Linked DNA regions of Danio rerio. Each later gene encodes a partner of the first gene's protein in a complex. Links are inferred from orthologs where the notes say so. Each region holds a gene or a part of one and is shown in the gene's direction. Other genes may lie near its edges.

Region 1 (7,312 bases):
AATGGTGGGCATCTCACTTCTATTCAGCTGCATTTATTTTGTGTATCATTTTACGCTCTTGAATTTTGTTTCATTTGTATAATTTTGGTATTTATGCAATTGTGCAAAACAGATGTATTGTGAAGTCGTGTGTGTGTTTGTGTGTGACAGATAAAGCTGCAGGAGTCTCCGGAGGACATGCCTGCGGGTCAAACTCCTCACACCACAGTCGTCTACGCTCACAACGACCTGGTGGACAAAGTGCAGCCCGGAGACCGAGTCAACATCACCGGTATGATTTTATTTGAAGTAGCATGGGCGTAAATCTGATTTAACAGTAGGGGGGGGGACAATATTTTTTGACAGCAATTTTTTGAAGGGGACACAAATAATACAGCCGAATTGTACTAATAAAGATGTCTCCCCGCAGTTAAAAATGGTTTCATCATTATTAATATAGCGTGGAGACTACGTCATTATGATTATTTTTAAAGTTTTTCTCAGGTTTAACGACAAAGCAAATTTTTCTTCAAAACTATTTATTGCATTGTTTGTTGTGTTGTTTACAGTCGACTGTCTGACTCCTGAAGCAGAATAAATGCAGGAAAAGACGTTTTCCATACTCATAATAACTAACTTGTTTACATTACACTTGTTAAAATGACCGATCATATTGTAAATCATTAAACCTGCGAGGTTCATCTGCTAAACAGCCACAACTACGAAAACATAAAAAAATTGTTCATCCCTAAAGAATTGTCATGATCCCTTAAATAAAGCACAACACCCTTACTTGACACTGTACATCTGACTGACCCTGCCCTGCCTGTTCCTCAGTCATTTCTTTCTCCTTTGCCTGTGATTGATAATGTGACATTAGTATTTTCATAAGCACTCATTCTTAAAGCCAAATTGCCTTAATACGTGAAGTTTTTGTACTTGGCGTTTAGCTGCACTGAAAAATTATCTTATTTCAATTTTCTCTGTCATTTTATTCATTACATGACACTGCAATGCAAGTTTATTTATGTTGTAGCACATTTAAATGGTAATTCGAAGTGCTTTACATAAAGAATGCAAAACTATCATAAAAATAATCACAAAAACAAATAACTAAAAAAGGTTAACATTTTAATTTTAAATTAATTGAGTTACTTAAAACTGAATAGAAACTGATTATAGAATAATACAGTGGGGTTAGTGTGCACAGTGTGCACAGTGTAGCACAGCGCTCATTTAGCAAATACACAGCAAAACAATATGCTAATTGTGGTCGTTAATGTTAAGTTAACATTATGCCAAGTCGTCACAAATTAAACAATGCATGGGAAATGGCTTTAGTGTTAGCAACAAGCTAACGTTAACTAGATAAGTAATAGAGGTGTGAACCTATACTGGTCTCACGGTTTGGTTCGGTTACGATTATCATGCCTTCGGTTCAATTCGATATCTCGGTGTATTGACGATGCTTTCCATATACAGTGTTATATTTTAGGGGGGAGGCTATAACAAGCTGTCTGTATAAACACACAGACACACAGCACCACACTGTCTCTCATTCAAACACATACACAAACATAGACAGGACCAAAGAAACACGCTCACACACACACACACACACACACACACACACACACACACACACACACACACACACACACACACTTAAGCCCTTGCAACAGGGAGAGCTTGCGCTGAGCGGAGCAGAAAAAAGAAAAAAAAGCACTTTTCAGACGGTCCCTTTCTGAGAGCTCCTCTCCACGCGAGCTCTCCCGGCTAAACACGTATTGCGAGGGCTTAAACAGAGCAGTGCTCGTAATGTCGAGCGAAAAAAAAGAAAGACAGCTGTGGAACATAACCAGCTTTGTCTTTTTGTAGGAAACACACTTTAGATCTTTTTAGGGTAGGAGGTTTATGAGTTAATGCCGTCTAAAGCTGAATGCGTGTCAGGAATATCGAAAACAAAACCAACTGAACCACGCTCCTTTCTGGCGCCCCCCTGGATATACAGCACCCTTAGCATTTGCCTATGGTGCCTATGCCACAGACCGGCCCTGAGTTGGCTGAGTGTTAAAAATACTCGCGCTCACCTCCCTCGTGACAGAGCGCATAGGAGATCAATGACGTGACATCAGTACATAATAACCGGTTATGATTATTACGGAACCGATACCTTATTGTCCGCGTCTGCATCGCGGTGCACCGAAGAAACAATTAATTTTGACACCCCAAATAAGTAATTTCAATCGTTAATGCAGCAGATTTATGGAGAATTACAAGCCTCGGATAGGAACGGACATGTCCCCCCTTTTCCCCCTGGGATTTACGCCCCTGTGAAGTAGGGATGCTCATTTTGGTTAATTTTGCTTACCGACAACCGCCGCTCATTAATCAAATATTACCTGTTAACTGGTCATATTAATATTAAATTAGCATTTAGTTTAAAAAAATTTGACGTCTCTGTTGTGTCTGACACATTAAATATTGCATTTTAAACACTGATTTATTTTAACATGCGAACATAACAACAGAGTATCTTCACACACCTGCAGTATTTCCAACAGCATAGAAAAACAGAATAAACTAAATTAAATGAATAAAATAAATAGGCCTGCCCTAACAATTTTTTCAATTAAATTATTAATTTAGGCGCCGTTTACACTGTTTGGTCTTGATGCCCAATTCCAATTTGTTGCCTATATCTGATTTGTTTGCCTGTCTGTTTACACGTTGTTTTAATTGTGACCCATATCCAATTCACTCGTTTACACTTGCCATACAATTTATGTTGTCGCGCATGCATAAAGCCGGGTTCTAGCATCTATGCCACACTAGCCACGATGGAAGAAATTGTCTTGTTTTTAGCTCTGCGAAGTGTAGTATAAGCAGTGAATGGTTTAGTCCAGATTTACCCCCACGTAGTAATAATGGTATGGCACTGATGTGTGTGTGTGTAGTTAAATATGTAGCCTTTGCCTGTGTGCGCACTGGTGTTAGAGAGAATAAAGTTGTTCTATGTGTATTAATAGTGACAAAAAGCAAAAGTTACAACACGAAGTTCGCCCAACTTTAAAATGATTTTGTGGTGGAGGAGGAAAAGGGCCGTCATCGCAGCTTGCGCTTATGGTTTATATGCTTTATGATGTCCTCCACCATTCAGAGGAATGTGTGGGTACGAGAGAGATCTCGGGTCTGCTGGGAGCAAATGGTGTCGACTGACCACTTCCTCCTCTGTGTTTCCTCTGATGTTGTTTACCGCGTCTGCATCTCCACACACGCTCTTCTTTCTGTCATTAAACTGCGGAGAAGCACCACATTGTCGCAAGTTTAATGATGTACAGAACGGAATGCCTCAATAAATCCGATCTGCCTGTTTACATGACAGTCGCATTGTCACATATCCGATCTAAATCTGATTTATTTCCCAATGCGAAGGAGGCCTGAAACCGATCTCTGAACATCCGAATGCATGCCTTTTTTTTTTTTTTTGTGTTTACTCAGTCGTAGAACAGATCCGATCTGCGTCACATATGAGCAAAAAATCGGAATTGGGTCACATTTAACTGGCAGTGTAAACGGGGGCTTAGGTTACAAAATGAAAACACTGACTGAATCCTTTATAAGAACCGGCATAGGCTGTTTTTTTTTTTTTTTTTTTGGTACATTTTTTTTGTATTTTTTTACACTCATGTTTTTGTCTTTCGTTTGGCAAAATGACTGAGCAACTCTTCTTTTATTGTGCTCAGGCATCTACAGAGCTGCCCCGATGCGTCTGAACCCACGGCAGAGCCAGGTGAAGTCTGTTTACAAGACCCACATTGACGCCATTCACTTCCGCAAGACTGACGAGAAGCGTCTGCATGGACTGGACGAGGACGGAGAGCAGAAACTCTTCACTAAAGAACGAGTCGCTCTGCTAAAAGAGCTAGCCGCTAAACCTGACGTCTATGAGCGCCTGTCCTCTGCTCTGGCTCCCAGCATCTACGAACACGAGGACATCAAGAAGGTCAGTATGATGGGAAACTCTAAATTGATGAAGTTGTTTTGAGTGTAATTGAATTGCTCCTCCACTTGCGAACTTGTCCCACTCCGTCTTCATGTGTTGATTGAGATTACGTCAGTCATCGAATAAAAATGCACATTTTAAAGCACTTCACGAGACCTTTACATCAAGGAATATGCTGTCAGGACACAAGTTGATGGTGTTGATGTTTTCCAGGGCATCCTGTTGCAGTTATTTGGCGGGACGCGTAAGGACTTCACTCAGACGGGCCGAGGAAACTTCCGTGCTGAAGTCAACATCCTGCTGTGTGGTGATCCGGGCACCAGTAAATCCCAGCTGCTGCAGTACGTGTACAACCTGGTTCCTCGCGGTCAGTACACGTCCGGGAAAGGATCCAGCGCCGTTGGTCTCACAGCCTACGTGATGAAGGATCCTGAAACCCGACAGCTGGTCCTGCAGACCGGAGCGCTCGTGCTCAGCGATAATGGCATCTGCTGCATCGACGAGTTCGACAAGATGAGCGACAACACCAGATCTGTGCTGCACGAGGTCATGGAGCAGCAGACGCTCTCTATTGCTAAGGTGCATAGGCTTATACGTATCTGATTACCTTAGTTTTTTAACTATATACGTTTCATCACAGTATTGACCCAAGCTGCAGTAATTTAACAAGTATAGTTACAAAAATGCTTTATTATATATACACATGTTGAGATAAAATAAATGTTTTAAACACATTAAATTGCAAAAGGATGATAAAGTAAAATAGGTAACACTTTACAATAAATTCTCTTTCATAAACCGTTAAAATAATTCGTTAAAATCAAGAATGAGAAAATGCAATATAGTTATTCATTCGTTCATTTTCTTTTTGGCTTAGTCACTTTATTAATCAGTGGTCGCCACAGCGGAATGAACCGCCAACTTATCCAGCACATGTTTTATGGAGCGGATGCCCTTCCAGCTGCAACCCATCTCTGGGACACATCCATACACACTCATTTACACACACTATACACTACAGACAATTTAGCCTACTCAATTTACCTATAGCGCATGTCTTTGGACTGTGGGGGAAACCGGAGCACCCAGAGGAAACCCGCGCAAACGCAGGGAGAACATGCAAACTCCACACAGAACTACCTACAGCACTACCTACTGCGCCACTGCGTCGCCTATTATAGTTATGTCAACGTTCGCAAAAAATACAACCAAATAAGTCTGTTTATCACATTTAATGAAGCAATTTCGACGTTAGATTTAAATAATAATAATAATAATAATTCTATACATTTATATAGCGCTTTTCTGGACACTCAAAGCGCTTTACACATTGGGGGGCGGGGTCTCCTCATCCACCACCAGTGTGGAGCATCCATCAGGATGACGTGATGGCAGCCATATTGTGCCAGACCACACACCAGCTGATTGGTGGAGAGGAGACCATGAACCCATTATGATATGAGGATGGTTAGAAGGCCATGATAGACAGAGGCCAGTGGGCAGATTTGGCCAGGATGCAATGAGAAATTGAAAAAAAGAAATAAAGAAAATGAAAGCATTTCAATAAATTAAGCATTAACTACAAATTAACATCACCTAAGATTAATAAATGTTTTTGTAGTTATCATTACATGGACTTTAATGAGTCAGAATTCATGAACAAAAGGCCTATAAATAGTCTCAGATTCAGTAAGTCTTACTTTTTGAAAATAACCTAACCAATACTAATACAACAAACTAATACAACATTTTCTTAAAAGGCACTCAAATGTTTAAACAATTAATCATGGTGTTTTGAGGTACCTGTGATATCAATATTGTGCATGTTCATTATCACAATATATCGAATTAATGAATACCGACATGTATCTGAAGGTGCATGAAGGATTGGGTTTGGAATTGCAATGCATTTGTTTGAACTGATGATTAATGCAGGATTGTGTGTGTGTTTCGTAGGCTGGGATTATTTGTCAGCTTAATGCTCGGACCTCCATCCTCGCAGCAGCCAATCCGGTGGAGTCTCAGTGGAACCCCAAAAAGACAACGATAGAGAACATTCAGCTGCCTCACACACTGCTGTCCAGGTACAAATTAAACAACCGTATTTATAGCGGATAATGTATATTAATCATCTGCTGAATATTTAAAACAATGTGTTTTGAAAAATATTAGTTAACATTAATTAGATTAAAAATAAAGTAAAAATGTAATGTTTAATAATTACAGTTTAAAATAGATGTTTTCTTTTAGGATGTATTACATTTTTGTAATGCAAAGTGTTGTGCTGCTTAATATTATTTGGGAACCAACTTCCTAAGTGCAGTGTTTATGTGAAATGCCAATAATTATGTGATAATTTTAATGTTTAAAAGTAAAGAAAAAAAACATTTGGATGATATAATTAAATATTAGTTTTGTCAGTATAGAAGTGTTTAATTTAAATTAGTTGTCAAATTAAATTATAAACTAACTTTAAAGACATTTATTAACAAATAGGGCAAATTTACATAAAAGAACTTAATTTTTTTTTTACTTTTGTGATCTCAAAGATTATTAATTATTCATAATATTAGTTCAACATAAGCTGCTTTTTATTTTAATGTTTTTTTTTCTTCTTTTGTCTAATAATTGTCTCTCTGCATCTGTTTTTTTTCCAGGTTTGATTTGATCTTCCTAATGCTGGACCCTCAGGACGAGGCGTATGACAGGCGTCTGGCGCACCACCTTGTCTCTCTGTATTATCAGAGTGAAGAGCAGATTGAAGAGGAGCATCTGGACATGGCTGTACTGAAAGACTACATCGCCTTCGCTCGCACAACTGTACATCCCAGACTGAGTGAAGAAGCCAGTCAGGCCCTTATTGAGGTATAGAAACACTATAACAGCACAGCATTATATGTTGCCAGCTTTGTTACTTTTAATTTAAGGACGATACTGATATTTCACTGTGATTAGCTGATCTTGATTTATTTTTTAATTGGCCATTTCATATGTCAGATTTCTTTTGCAATCAAATTGTTCGTTGTCTCTTTTATAATTAAAGGGGCTGTATGTAAGTTTTGGACTATTAATACTATAATATCCATAATATTTTTGCAGATATTTCAGAAATATGCGAAGTCAGGGCTCGAAATTGCGACTGTTTTGGTCGCAAATGCGCCCGAGAATAATCTATGCAACCTCATAATATATATGGGAGCATTAGTGCGACTGCAGATAATGGTTGTAGTGTGACCTGTTTAGATTTTTTCTAAAAACGTGCTAAATCGGTCTTCCCTGCCGCTATATTGGTTCATATTAGCTGTCAATCACTCAAGATATTCCGCA
Region 2 (7,312 bases), on another chromosome or scaffold:
ATTGCCGGTAATGTTACAACTTCTCTTTCCGGAAAATAGCCAGAACGAATTTACCGGTATTTTCAAAAAGGGCCTGTTCACACATACAACCTTTCCGGAAAATTGCCGGTAATTTTCCGGAAAGGTCTGTGTGTGTGAAAGGGGCTATTGCCTCGTAATGGTATGATGGGCAAGGTTAAAGTCCGTCAAAATCTACAATGTTTATTTTGCTAGCGCACACTTTTATTCTTTAGTTAATCCACTGAAAAAATAATATTTTTTTGTAATTAACCATTAAAATCTGGCATTTGGTTCAACATTTAGGGTGGAAGCAAATGGCAATTGTGGGCTTTGATTGAAGATATTTTTTAAACAGTGGGTTAACTAAAGAATAAGATTGTACATTTTGATTTCACGTGCACTTTAAGGGTGCTTTTACACCTACACTTTTGTTTGGGAACGTGTCTCGTTTGCCCAGTTAGCGCAGTTCGTTTGGCATATGTGAACAGGGCAATCGCGCTCTGTTCCGCGCCAAAGTAATCGCTCCGAGACCGCTTGAGTGAGGAGGTCTCGGCTCGATTAGAAAGAACCCTGGAGCGGTTTGATTGCAGTGAGAAAGTGATCCGATCCGAGCGCGGTTACATCACAGTGTTTTATGGATATGTAATAGGCTTACGGCTATATGAAGAGAGAATTATGAGCATGGCGGGAAGTTTCGCGAGTCTCCGGATGCCCGCAAACGAGTGATGATCTCCCGGTAATCTCGAGTCTCCCTCCCGGTCCTCAAATAGGCATCGTCACGCACCCTTCTCCCCCCTCCCCACTGCATCTCTCCTCAGACACGTCGCGCGTGCACCCTGTCAATCACCATCAAACCACCACCTCTCCTGACAGCTGAGCGGGACGCTGCAAATTAAACCCTCTGAGATAAACAAATCTCTGTTTCGGAACAACTGAATCGATTCACAGGTGTGAAAGCAGCCTAAAGCTGGAAGTTTCAGTACAATGATGTGTTTCCAACTGAAACTGAATATTGATTAGGGGGGGCGGAGTTTTATTTTTTGCGATGGTAGGGGGCGTGGCTTAGCACATTTTGCCCAAACCAAATTATTATAGTTAACCAAAACAAGTGAAAAGACAAAAACTAAAGGTTAAAATAATTTTCTTTCATTTTCTTGTCAGATTAGTCCCTTTATTAATCCGGGGTCGCCACAACGGAATGAACCGCCAACTTATCCAGCAAGTTTTTACGCAGCGTATGCCCTTCCAGCCGCAACCCATCCCTGGGAAACATCCACACACACATTCACACACACACACTCATACACTACAGACAATTTAGCCTACCCATTCTCCTGCATGTCTTTGGACTGTGGGGGAAACCGGAGCACCCAGAGGAAACCCACACGAACGCAGGGAGAACATGCAAACTCCACACAGAAACGCCAACTGAGCCGAGGCTCGACCCAGCGACCTTCTTGCTGTGAGGCGACAGCACTACCTACTGCGCCACTGCTGTAAACGCAAACCAAAATCGTCCCGGAGTGCAGGGGTCCGTTCTTCTTACCTCGCTTAAATGATCTAAGATGATTTGGCAGATCCTGGATCTTTTAATCTTGATAACTGATCTCTCGCTAATTTGGTTCTTCAAACAAGTTCGCAAATCAGATTAGAATGTCTGGATAAACTGATCTGAGATCGCTGCGTGTGTTGTAAAGGAAAGATCTATCCATCCTCGAAATCATGATCAGCAATGCAACGATTGGCTGACGGCACAGCAGCGTAATGACATCATCTGATTAATATTCAATTATCCATGTGAGCAAAATTACATCAAATTAGCAGTAAACGGCTTGTTAAATATGACACGCAATAACCTTCCACATTTGTTGTGAGCTGCAGGCTTTACACTTCATCATGTATTTCAATGCAAATCAATGTATTTAGTTCTACATTTAGAAAAGATTTTCTTTATTATAGTAGTTGTTTTTTTAATCGGTGTAAAGAATAACTGGTTGTTTACAAAAGCATTTTGATATTGGTAAAGGTGTCTGCAACTTTTGTGAAGCATCAAATCCATGGCATATTAACTATTAAAACATGTTTATGACTGCATAAATGTATTATTGCTTTAAAAAAAGTAACATATTCTGCATTTCTATTATACACAATTTGTACTAAAGCGATCTAAAAAGTTCATATCAATAAGTTTTCTCTTCGCACTACCAGGTGGCAGTCTTTGTACTTTCATTTCGAGGGTGCAGATTGCATAAGTTTTATTAATATGTATAACTTTATTTATTTTATTAATGACTATAACTTTATACATATATATATATATATATATATAGTTAAAAATATGTACCATTTTCCCAAGTGTATATAACTACTACTGTAAGAAAATATCAGAATTCAGAACATACTTTCTGTATTATATTTGCTTGAACTGAGCCGATCTAATCCTGTTTATATGAATTGAACCTGCTCCCGACCAGGTTTGACCTAGCAGAACTGTTGCTATGACAACAACTCTCGGATCAGCTTTGAAGAACGAAACGATCCTGGATCGTGTCAAATCATCAATATCCAAATCCAGCTAACTGAGTAATCCACGTACGAAGAACAGACCCCAGGAGCCTTTGCTCAAAGTACTCGTTAATGCTTAGTTTGAGGCAGTTTTAATGTGAGCATCATCACAGAGTAGATGAACAGTGTCTCCTAATGAGCGTCTCTTGTGTTTCAGGCTTGGCTCAATGAGAAGTTTTCTCCAGAACTGTTGGAGAACAAGTCTGAGCTGGTGGAGTGTGTGATGGAGCAGCTCACACACATGGTATGAGTCTGTCTGCAGTGTTTCTCAGTCTGATTAAACTTTGCGTGACGGATGTTAGCCTGTAGACGAGTCAGATTGACCGTTTCAGTATCGATCATGACTTGTGGTGTGATTTAGGAGGAAAACCTGCAGCGTGTGAGGAAAGGAGACCTGAAGGCCAGTGTTCACCGCATGGAGATCGACCGCATCCGCTTCGTTCTCAGCAGCTTCCTGCGCTCCCGACTCAAGAAGGTAAATCGAGCGTAATTTATTCAGAAAGACTGGCAGTACGCTATAGCGCATGTGTTTGGGACTGTGGGGGAAACACCCGGAGGAAACCCACGCCAACACGGGGAGAGCATGCGAACTCCACACTGAAACGCCAGTCGGGACTCACACCAGATCTGTTCTGTAGGCTGATGTTGTGTCCACGTCTGGTTTTCTCGTCTGCAGATCGAGAAGTTTTTCCCTCATGTTCTGGAGAAGGAGAAGTCCCGTGCTGATGGAGACCCCTCGTTCCTGTCTCCTGAAGAGTTCGCCTTCGCTAAAGAGTGAGTTCAGCGCAATCTGCGACTGTCGCACTGAGGATCTGTTCATGTCTGTCAGAGAGACGCTTCTGGACCGAATGATGAGGGCGATTGAGGACAGAGAGAGAGAGAATTTAAGTGTGTGTGTGTGTGTGTGTGTGTGTGTGTGTGTGTGTGTGTCTGTTTGTTTGTGTGTGTGCACGTCTGTCTATGTATGTGTGTGTCTGCATCTGTTTGTGTCTGTGTTTGTCTTTGCGTGTGTCTGTGTGTGTGTGTGTGTGTGTGTGTGTTTGTCTTTGTGTGTGTGGGTGTTTGTTTGTGTCTGTGTGTGTCTGTTTTTGTGTGTGTGTGTCTGTCTGTGTGTGTGTGTCTTTGTGCATTTTTGTTTGTGTGTGTACATATCTATGTATGTATGTATGTATGTATGTATGTATGTATGTATGTATGTGTGTGTGTGTGTGTGTCGGGTATGTATGTGTGTGTTTGTGTTAGTGTGTGTGTCTGTGTGTGTGTGTCTTTTTGCAATTTTGTGTGTGTGTGTGTGTGTGTACATGTCTATGTATGTATGTATTTGTGTGTGTCGGGTATGTATGTGTGTGTGTTTGTGTTTGTTAGTGTGTGCACGTCTGTCTGTATGTGTGTGTGTGTCTGTGTGTTTTTTGTTTGTGTCTGTGTTTGTGTCTGTTTGTCTGTGTGTCTGTGTGTATGTGTGTCTGGTATGTATGTGTGTGTGTGTCTGTTAGCGTGTATGTGTGTGTGTGTGTGTGTGTGTGTGCACGTCTGTCTATGTATGTGTGTGTCTGTGTGTTTTGTTTGTGTCTATGTGTGTTTGTGTCTGTGTGTTTGTCTGTCTGTGTGTGTGTGTCTGTCTGTTTGTCTGTGTGTGTGTGTGTGTGTCTGGTATGTGTGGGTGTTTGTTAGCGTGTATGTGTGTGTGCACGTCTGTCTATGTATGTGTGTGTCTGTGTGTTTTTTGTTTGTGACTATGTGTGTTTGTCTTTGTGTGTGTGTTTGTGTCTATCTGTGTGTGTGTCTTTGTGTGAGTGTGTGTGTAAATGTCTGTGTGTGTGTATGTGTGTATATGTGTTTGTCTGTCTTTGTGTGTATGTGTGTGTTTGTCTGTCTGTCTCTGTGCGTGTGTGAATGAGTGTGTACCTGATATCCATTACATTATGGGGACAATAAAATACAGCAATTCCAGTACATTTTGACATTGTGGGGACATTATTTTGGTTCCCTTGAGGAAAAGTGGCCCATAAATCAGACAGAATGAAGTATTTTGTAAGATGTAAATTTGCAGATTGTTTCCAGTGAGGGTGGGGTTGGGGAAGAGTAAATACAATAGAAACATCATTACATCTATGGTGAAGTCCCCAATAAACATGAAAACTCAATGTGTGTGTGTGTGTGTTCAGGTATCTGGCGAACACAGAGGTTTACCTGCGAGCCGTGGCTTTGAAACATATGCCACCAAACCTGCAGAGCGTCGACATGATGAAGGCCGGTGAGAAACACTTCTGTATTGAAATAGCCCCTATTATGCATTAAAAGGTCATGTTGTGGATTTGGGGGTCTCCAACAACAGGCTGATCTGCATATAGGGTCAAAAAACACCTTCATTGTCTTATAATATGCGTTTATTTTTACCTGATTACCTAACGACTCCCAGGTGATTCAATCAGTGATTCATTTTTTTTTCCCCCGAACAACGACTGTAAAAAATATGTGAACAAATATGCTCCCATTGAACGCCTTAAATGCATGACGGGCACAAACTGTCGCAAAACACTGCTGAAATTGGAGCATGCGCAATAGAACTGCCTGATGGAGCCAGAGGCGGAGCTGCAGAATCAAGCTTCCAATCAAATGTGTGTACGCCAAATCAACCACGCCCCCCGAACGTCTCACCTGACCGCCCGTTTCTGCACAATAACAAAGGCTCGCTAATTTAAATATAAGCACTTGCATTCAAACACATGTAATTATATACGATTTATTTGAAAACTGTGATGCAAGCTGTTATTAATAATTTAATAAAAATAATATCTGCTGGACTGCAGAAATAAAAGTTAGACTCCGCTATGAGCACACAAAATATTTCTCTTATAACGGGTTGTTGGTATTTGGCATCTTCATAGTGTCACGGTAGAGCGACCAAAACAGGAACAAAAAAAACGGGTGTAGAATCCAAGTGCAGTTTAATTGATGTATAGGGCAGTGAAAGTGACAAAAATACAAAGTAACAAAATAGCAAACTAACAAAACAAGAAACTAAGACAGATTAAACTCGAACTAGACTATAACAAGATACAAGAGCAAGGATCAGGAATAACATTAAAAAACGACAACGACCAACTGACAAACAGAGGATAAATGACTGAATATATAGTCCAGGTAATCAACGGAGAACGGAGACAGCTGTGGTTGTAAATCAGTGTAGATGACAGACCGGGTGTGTGCGCGAAAATATGTATGGAAATGTAGTTCTTTAGCCACTGTAGTTCATTGGGGGTTGCTGGCACCTGGTGGACAAACACAGTCATGACACAAAGGGGTAGAAAACTTGTAAAGTATGAAGAATAACATATCAACGACACATACATTTTTTAGAAAGGCTTTTGTTCTTAATTAGCAATCACCAGGACCCAAAATACACGCACCATGAACAGCTATTTACCATGCGGGAAAATCGTGTGTTTATATTAGAAACAGTGGCGTAGCGCAAAATGCGGAGTCCCCCTGCAGGGATCGCTGACGGGGCCCACTGATGAAGAGGGGGGGGGGGGATACGTCATACGCCAATTTGCATATCACTGACGTCATCACGTTTTACCGTTTCTGTTTGTTTTACACCCTATGGTTAATAAAGGGGTATTTATAATTGCACTACACTTTATATAAGCATGTTTATTAACTAAATGTATTGCTGTTTGAATACAGTATGTCATTATAGATGTGTAGTGAATGTGCAGTAATCTCTCATATGTAATAAACTCAGACAAATTCAGAAACTGTCACTAATATCTGTGATTGTTAAAATAAAGTAGAAGTAGATCGGTTTGACTGTACAAGGGAAATACCTTTACACTGCCTGTGCTAAATCATTTGTTGTCGGTACGCAGAGGGGTGATCTGCTCTCGGGCTGCAGATGAGAGAGGCTGCTGTAGAGGACTGACTGGGCCGCCTGTCAGTGCTGTGAGGCGGGGGAGGGGTCGGCGGCATCACACGCAGCTCGTTGAGAAGAGTAGGGACGGTACAGTATGGACAAATGACAGTCTAAAAAAATCTCCAATAACATACAAAAAAGTCGCTAGATTTGTCGTTAGGGGGTCTGAAAAGTCGCTAAATCTAGTGACAAAGTCGCTAAGTTGGCAACATTGGCGGCAAGCAATCAGAATGAAGTAGTCCACCGCTTGAGAGGTGTTTAGAGAACACAGACCTGTGAACTTTGGTTCCGACCACAGTTGTTCCCAAGAGTTTGATTATTGCGGTTGCCGGTTGATTTTCAATTATTGAAAATCGCGACGACGCGGGGCCCCCTAATCACGCGGGGCCCCCCCGCGGTGCGTGCCCTGCGGGCCCATCCGCTACGCCACTGATTAGAAAAGGATACAGCAAGATTTCTAAATATCAACAGGATATTTACACATCTCTGCACTATATAAAATAACCCTTTTCAATTTGTACAATAAACTATTGTACAAAATATTGCTGGCATATTGTTCGATTTTTTTTTTTTTTTTTTGTCTTTGCCTCCGTTTTCATTTGGTTTATTCAATGCCTTAATTATATCTGGCAAAGAGGAGTTTACATTCATTTGAATGTTTATTAGGAATTTTCAAATAAAAAGTCAACGGTAAATGGTGTGTATAAATAATACATGTAACATTTACAGCTTTTTTTTGTTATTTAAGATTCAGTTTCTAGAACATTAATACTTTATAAATGCAAATTCAGTAGATTAACTTAATAATATGATGAAACTCAAAATCAAGCT
Region 3 (7,312 bases), on another chromosome or scaffold:
AGTTGGCTCAAAATAGTACTAAAACTATTGATTTGATTTGACATTTTTGCATTTGTGAGGGAAAAGCTTTGTTATGGATGTAACAGATGTGACATTGGCACTTGTGATTGATTTTGGTGAATCAAATATAATTATTTGAGAACATTCACAGAGACATTTTTGAGTATTTTTAAAGTGCTGTAAAGTACCTGCTTGCACAAAAAATGAAGAAACGATTTTGCTATTTTGGCAAAAACTTTTCATGGCAAGGTTGACGTTTGCATGGAATTGCTCTCTCTCACGCACACACACACAAATAATGTGTGTCTTAATAGATAAATATAGTTCATAGTCTATGTTTTATACTAGACAATACATTTTATTTTAATCTCTGACAGTGTTAAAAGGTTTAATTACAGCAAGCAAAAGTACATTTTGTGAAAAGATGTGCGAAGCCAAATGTCTTGAGTCAATGCTTGTAACCATGTTTAAATGTTTATTCCAAGTAAGCCGCTTGAGATATTAGGGACATTCTACCAGAATTGTACATTGTCTGTCCCTGAAATAAAAACATAAATACAGTGAATAAAAAGTATTTTATTCCAAATATTTTTTAAAATGGACTGGATTTTTTGAGTTTTTCTGTGAAGGAATATGTCATTTGGTTTTCAGATTTTTGTTCTTCATTAAAAACTTTACAAATGTACAAATTTTACTCTGTACAAATTTACAGCGTCTATGGGGTTAAAAGTAAATTTGACATTATTCTTTCCTCTGGCTGCCGTCATCAGTCTGATAGTTTTGATAACACCATCATGGAGTTTTTATCATTTCAGCAAATAGGATTGTAATAAAGATTATTTGTTGTACTCTCTAATTTACTACACTTTAAGTTTACCCAACTGTGACGCCTTCCATTACTGAGAAACCTAGAAATGTGAAAAGGGTCCTTGTCCTCAGCTTTAATAGTTTTGTCATGCTAAAAACTGTTGTAGTAATTGCAAGTTAAAGTTGTTAGCAATCACATCAATTGATTAAAAACATGAAATTATAATTACATTCTACAAATAAATACTACAAATATATAATACAAATACACTTATAATTGTCCTCATGTTTTGGTCACTCCTGTTTGCATGAACTTTAACAAAAAAAGCGTGCAATACACCTTTAAGGCTATGACTCGGAAGTGACATCATTTGATGGAGAAGCTGACAGTGATCAACGATGTGTTCTATCATTGAGTTGTATGATTTTATGCTTGTTTTTGTATGATTTTATAAGTAGGACAAGCTTAAAGGTCTGGCCCTGTTACATTTTATATAAATATATGTAAATAAATATATGTAAAAAAATAATTATAATTTTTTTTTATAAAATATAAATTTATGAAAATATACGTTTCTGGTAGAATGTCCTATATACTTAATGTTAAATTCTTTATTCATATGGCTTATTGGGCGGTGGCTCAGGGGTTTGCACAGTCGCCTCACAGCAAAAAGGTCACTGGTTTGAGTCCCACCTTTTGTGTGGAGTTTTCTCTGGGTGCTCCGATTTCCCACACAGTCCAAAGACATGTGGTACAGGTGAATTGGCTAAACAAAGTTGGCTGTAGTGTATGAGTGTGTGTGTGAATGTGAGAGTGTATGGCTGTTTTCTAGTACTGGGTTGTGGCTGGAAGGACATCCGCTACATAAAACATTTGCTGGAATAGTTGGGGATTCATTTCTCTGTGGCGATCCATGATAAATAATGGACTAAATTGAAATAAAGGAAAGGGGATTAAGATAGCATGTTTTGTGCCATCTCTGAATTACAGGTTTTGTTTAGACCATACTTTTTTGGTCACTTACAGCTAGCTACTTGAGTATGTATCTGATTTATTGATTAATTTTTCCAGGGAGATTTAGGCCCGTTCAACCCAGGTCTGCCTGTTGAAGTTCCTGTCTGGTTGGCCCTCAATCTTAAACAACGGCAGAAATGCAGGATAGTTCCTCCAGAATGGATGGACACAGGTGAGTTTCAGTCTGTCTGTGCTGGGACACCATCTATTCTGAAGGCAGGCTCTAAACGCTGCTGATCTTTTCATTTTCAGACAAACTAGAAGACATCCGTGAACAGGAGAGGAAATTAGACACTTTTACTCCCATCCCAAATCCATATTACATGGAGCTGACCAAATTATTACTCAACCAGTGAGTATCAGATCTCCTTCAGCCTTGTTTTTTAATGTAATGTCAGAGTGTGTCTCATTGAGGCTGTTTACACCTGGTCATTTCATGCATGATGCATAATTGTGAAAACGGATCTATTTCTATTTGTTCATATAATTGTGTCGCCACTAAAATGACAACGATCTTTAAATCCTTCACTATTTGGGGTTCTCGGTAAAATGTGAAATGTCCTGTTATCCTCCTATGATTTGGTGTGTCCTGTGATCCACAGTTAAAAATATACATTTTTTATTTTGGTTTGGGGATAAAAACAACTGCAGCAATACTGCCTTGTACACTTTAGATTACAGGGCTCAACAATAAGGACTGCCCGATGGCCCGGGGCCAGCGTGTGAGATGCTCGGGACAGTAGACAGGATCGTTACTGGCCCGATCGGGCCACTGCTGCCTTGTTACTAAAGTTTAATTTTCCTGTGATTATTTGTCAATTGCGTGCAAATACAGTTTTAGAATTGAGAAACAGTACGTATTTTCCTTATACCACTTATACCAAACGTTCTGCTCACACAACCCCAATTTTGTACGACCTCCATTGGCTCCCAGTTGCTTATCGCATTAAATTCAAAATTCTCCTCCTTGCATTTAGATCCCTAAATAGCCTAGCTCCCTCCTATCTCTGCAGCATACTTGTCCCCTACACCCCAACTCGTTCATTACGTTCCGCTGACTCTGGCCTTCTCGCTGTCCCTCGGTACCGCCTCTCTTCAATGGGGGGCAGATCATTTAGTGTTATTGCACCCAAACTCTGGAACTCTCTACCACACTCACTCCGCTGACGTCAACTTTCCTCACATCTCAGTGTGTTGAGTTCTTGAATTTATATCGTGTCTGTGTGAAGGAGAGAAACCACGAAAGTGCAAGTGGGACCACAACACAGTACATTGCCTTCAGTCACTCAATGTAAATTCACAAACAAAAAAAAAACAAATGCTGGTTTTCTTGCAAAACCCTGGCCTATAATTGTTAAAATAAAATAGCTTACACTGGGTCATTTATGTTAATTTTGAAAACTATACAGATCTTTGATTAAAATGTTAAATTTTTTATTTACTTATTTTTTTGCAGGAGGACAAAAACTGCTTGTATTTTTATATTTTATAAGTTGAGTTGTTAGATGTCCGTTATTCAATAAATAGGTGTTCAATTTGTTTTTTAAATTTGTTTGGAGCCATTTTTCTTTCTAAACAGCACATATCATACCAAAACTGTTATATTTACGGAACTGTGAGAAGTTTGAACGGTTGCAGCCCTACTTTCTACAGTATATACAAATGTATGTAGATAGCATAATCTAAAGCATCAGATACACTGCATTTTATTTATTCGTTCATTTTCTTTTTGGCTTAGTTCCTTTATTAATTAGGGGTCACCACAACGGAATGAACCACCAACTTTGTTGGTGCCATCTTTGAAACGGCTCTCGGGCAGTATGCTCAAAATTGCTTGCTAAACTTAAGATTAAATTTCATATCAGGAGTCACCAATAAAATAAAACAACAACTACTGTCACTTTAGTTTCATTTCTAAACATTTGAATCACACAAAATCTGCAGAAACTCATGTCTGACCTAAGCCCCTTCCCCGGGGAATCATCAGTCTATAGCGATCAATAATTGGCACCTGCACTAGAAGGTGGGGCTTCATTCGCCATATTGATATACGCTTACGATTAAACTCCATATTAGGAATCGCCAATAAAATTAAACAAGAACGGTCTCTTTAGTTTGTATTTCTAAGTGTTTGAATCAAACAAAATCTGCAGAAACTCACGCCTGGTCTGAGCCTCTCCCCGGAGTATCGTCAGTCTATAGCAGGGGTTGAGAACCTTTTTTTCGGCAAAGAGCCATTTTTGATTTTTTTTTTTTTTAAAATGCAGTTTTTTAAAGACCTATTGGATATAAACAATACAGGTTTAAACAACACCTTTATTTATGTACATGCACAACTCAAAAATAAACAAATATGAAGCATCACATGTTGAGCAAGTTTATGAACAAAGAATGGACAATTTATAGAACTTTTTCTTTTTGACATCATCATAAATGTTGTTTGAATTTTCATGCGTGAGGTTATAGAAGTGTAGGGTTCTATTTTAACGATCTAGGCACGAAGTCTAAAGCTATAAATAAATGAACAATAATAACAAAGTGTGGTCAAAAAAACTGAATTATATACTAACACACGTGCTATGCCCCATATGGTCCAAAACCCGACAGATGGACAAATCTTTTTAATAAAACAAATATAATGCGCATATAATAAATAATACTACTAATAGTTATAACATTATTAAAAAGCAAGTTGTTGTAAATAAACTGAAAAAAGCCTCCCGAGATAAAGGTATGAAGGTTTATATGTTTATGTAGAAAATTCAAATTTTTGTAATATTTTAATCCTTTAATTCTTTTTCAGTTGTACAGATATTTGTGTATAGTTGTACTTCCTTTGGTTTTAAGCAATGTGTAAGCGAGGTGGACACCTGACTCGCTCTGTGCTGGACTTTAGACCTTTCAGCTGGTCTAATGCTCAGTCTATTTTAGTTTCTCAAATTAAACAACACCAAACAATGTGCCTTAACACACCTGTTTTCTGGAGCGGAACACCCATGAGTCCACAAAGTGGCGCAAATGGATTTGCTTTTTAAACAATGCGGCAGAAAACTGGAAAATTAAGGTTGCGCTGGTCTAAAAATAGCAACACGTCGGGGCAAACACGTCTTGTGACTTATCGCGCCGGGTGTATGATAGGGCCCCTTAAGTTGTTTGCTTATTTCTTATAAATTTTTCTGTAAATAAATACAATAAAAAAGGAAATGTAATTTTATTTTCAATAGAAAACTGAGTGACATTTATAATTTTTTAAGCTGTAAAATATTATTGAAAGGAGACAGTTGGAGAGCTACGTATTTTTGGTCAAAGAGCCACTTGTGGCTCTCGAGCCATAGGTTCCCTACCACTGGTCTCCAGCGATTGATGATTGGCTCCTGTACTAGAAGGCGGGCGTTATTTGCCTTAAGGCTGATTTATACTTCTGCGTCAAACGCCAGCGTATGACGCATAGCCCTTCGCCGTGGCCGTCGCCGTCACTGACGTGCACCTCTCAAAAATTGTAACTACACGTCGCAACGACGCGTAGCGTAAGCTCTGTGATTGGTCGGCTTGGTAGCGCTGATGAGTCTGGGCGGGACCGAGAGCCGCGCAAATGGCGCGAGCAATTGTTTACAAGATTGGAGTCCCGTGAAGGAGCTCCCGATGGAAAGTTTTGTTTTGTGTTTACCTCATAGTTAAAGTTGTTGCACGTCCGCCGGTTCCTGCCTTAAAATGAGCGAGTTTGAGCCACTTGTACATCCCTGAAGTGTTCAGGAAAAGCAAAAAAGCAGCGAAGAAACTCGACACAGAGGAACATTTACACCTCACTGCCAACTAGCATTTCGGAAGTGTTAATGCAGACCGACAGAGACAGCGCGCAGAAGTATAAATGCACAGCCACGCGCGTTGCATGCGCCGTGGGTTACGCCGGTCACCTGATGCAGAAGTATAAATCAGGTTTTATAGCGATCGATGATTGGCTCCTGAACTAGTATGTGGGGCTTTATTCACCATATTGACGTTACACTTTTCTCCATTCACAAAGATACAAGTAACATGTCTTGTGCATTCTATAGTCTTTGCTGTTACGCTTTTCCCCATTCAAAGTAAACGAGTGACATATTCTACAGTCTTTAGCTGCTTTTCCACTATCGAGCTGAACTGTTCTAAGAACACTTCAGTATGGTTACAATTGTTTCTCCACTGAGCCTGGAACAGCGCGACACGATTACAAACCGTTCTCGGCCCGGAATTCTCTGCACGGTTAGACAACTGTGCTGAACTGTGCCGACAGATTCTGTGTGTTGACGTCGCGTAAGCACGCTAGTCATCAGACATCCACAAGTGGACTACACTTTATTTATTATGAAAAAAAGTAAACCAGGTCTAAACCGTAGAGTTTAAAAAGGGTTTTAAAACCATAGAGCAGTCTCTGGCAGAGAAGTGAAGAACTCCTCACATTCTTACGAAGATATTTTATTTAACTATTACTGTAATAACTATTAATAAGTATTATATAACTATTTTAAGTTATTATTTCATTGACATGAATACAATTAACCATGTATGATATAATTACTAACCCCTCATCTAAAATAATAAAATAGCCTATTGTTTTATTCATGGCTAGAGTTTGATTCATTTGATTGAAATCCTAGGCAATGAGACCTTTAATTCACCTGGTTGAATGTGAGTTTGCACGCAGCGCTGTATTTGGTAGCACAAACACTTGCTCTGATCCGGGAGAGAACTTTACCAATGACTACATGCGCTGCTGAAAGACTTTTTTTTCCTGCTGCGCATCGAATAAAGCAAAGAAAGACATGCTTAACATCATCGATGTCCACAACAACACCACTATATCCATGGAACATGAACTTGCCAACTCTTTTTAACAACGAGGAAATAATTGTACTTTTTAATTCAAAGCCCAGGCGGCTTGTTAATTTAATACCGGCGAGACCACCTGAAGGATTGCTACAGCGTGCTGTAATTGTTGGCTGTCCAAAAGTCTACGGTCGGTAGAAAGTGAACTCTTAATTTTTATGGACTTTGCTTGAAAGCTTTACGGAGTGGCACTGTATCTGTCCAAGGTACCGTTGTATGATTTATATTATAGCCTATATATGCACCAATAAACAAGTCAAATGAATGAATAAAAAAATATGGATTATTTATTGTCGGTATTGCTTTTACTCAAAAAATAACAGTACTTTTTGACAAATGTTTTACAAAAATAAAATGAGCAATTTTTATCATTTCTAAAGGCCATTTTATGATTTAGTTATACATAAGTTTGACATTTATGGGGGCATGTAACATGTTTCTGTGTTTTTTGTGATCTGTAATATATACTGGGTAGCTATGCAAATATTTTCTGAAACGTCAAGCAAGAATTTGCTTACAGCTTTTTAGTTAATTATGAAGACAAAAAAAAAAATAACAAAAATAAAACGATAAAAATACAAAGATAAAAGAGCAGCATTTTGCTAAATATAATAGTCCTTTATA

The links.
Region 2: mcm4 (region 1) and gins4 share a complex: the UniProt entries of both Homo sapiens proteins name them as parts of the CMG helicase complex. The link is inferred for Danio rerio from reciprocal best matches to the Homo sapiens genes MCM4 and GINS4.
Region 3: mcm4 (region 1) and gins2 share a complex: the UniProt entries of both Homo sapiens proteins name them as parts of the CMG helicase complex. The link is inferred for Danio rerio from reciprocal best matches to the Homo sapiens genes MCM4 and GINS2.

Annotation. Positions count from the first base shown.
Region 1 is NC_133199.1:39,259,299-39,266,610, reverse strand, and holds part of mcm4 (DNA replication licensing factor MCM4), read left to right. Parts: coding exon 1-4; intron 5-150; coding exon 151-271; intron 272-3,725; coding exon 3,726-3,985; intron 3,986-4,198; coding exon 4,199-4,564; intron 4,565-5,941; coding exon 5,942-6,069; intron 6,070-6,642; coding exon 6,643-6,850; intron 6,851-7,312. UniProt on the Homo sapiens protein: Acts as a component of the MCM2-7 complex (MCM complex) which is the replicative helicase essential for 'once per cell cycle' DNA replication initiation and elongation in eukaryotic cells.
Region 2 is NC_133183.1:62,249,505-62,256,816, forward strand, and holds part of gins4 (DNA replication complex GINS protein SLD5), read left to right. Parts: intron 1-2,722; coding exon 2,723-2,809; intron 2,810-2,926; coding exon 2,927-3,040; intron 3,041-3,241; coding exon 3,242-3,339; intron 3,340-4,730; coding exon 4,731-4,819; intron 4,820-7,312. UniProt on the Homo sapiens protein: Required for correct functioning of the GINS complex, a complex that plays an essential role in the initiation of DNA replication, and progression of DNA replication forks.
Region 3 is NC_133193.1:32,042,496-32,049,807, reverse strand, and holds part of gins2 (DNA replication complex GINS protein PSF2), read left to right. Parts: intron 1-1,879; coding exon 1,880-1,994; intron 1,995-2,074; coding exon 2,075-2,174; intron 2,175-7,312. UniProt on the Homo sapiens protein: Required for correct functioning of the GINS complex, a complex that plays an essential role in the initiation of DNA replication, and progression of DNA replication forks.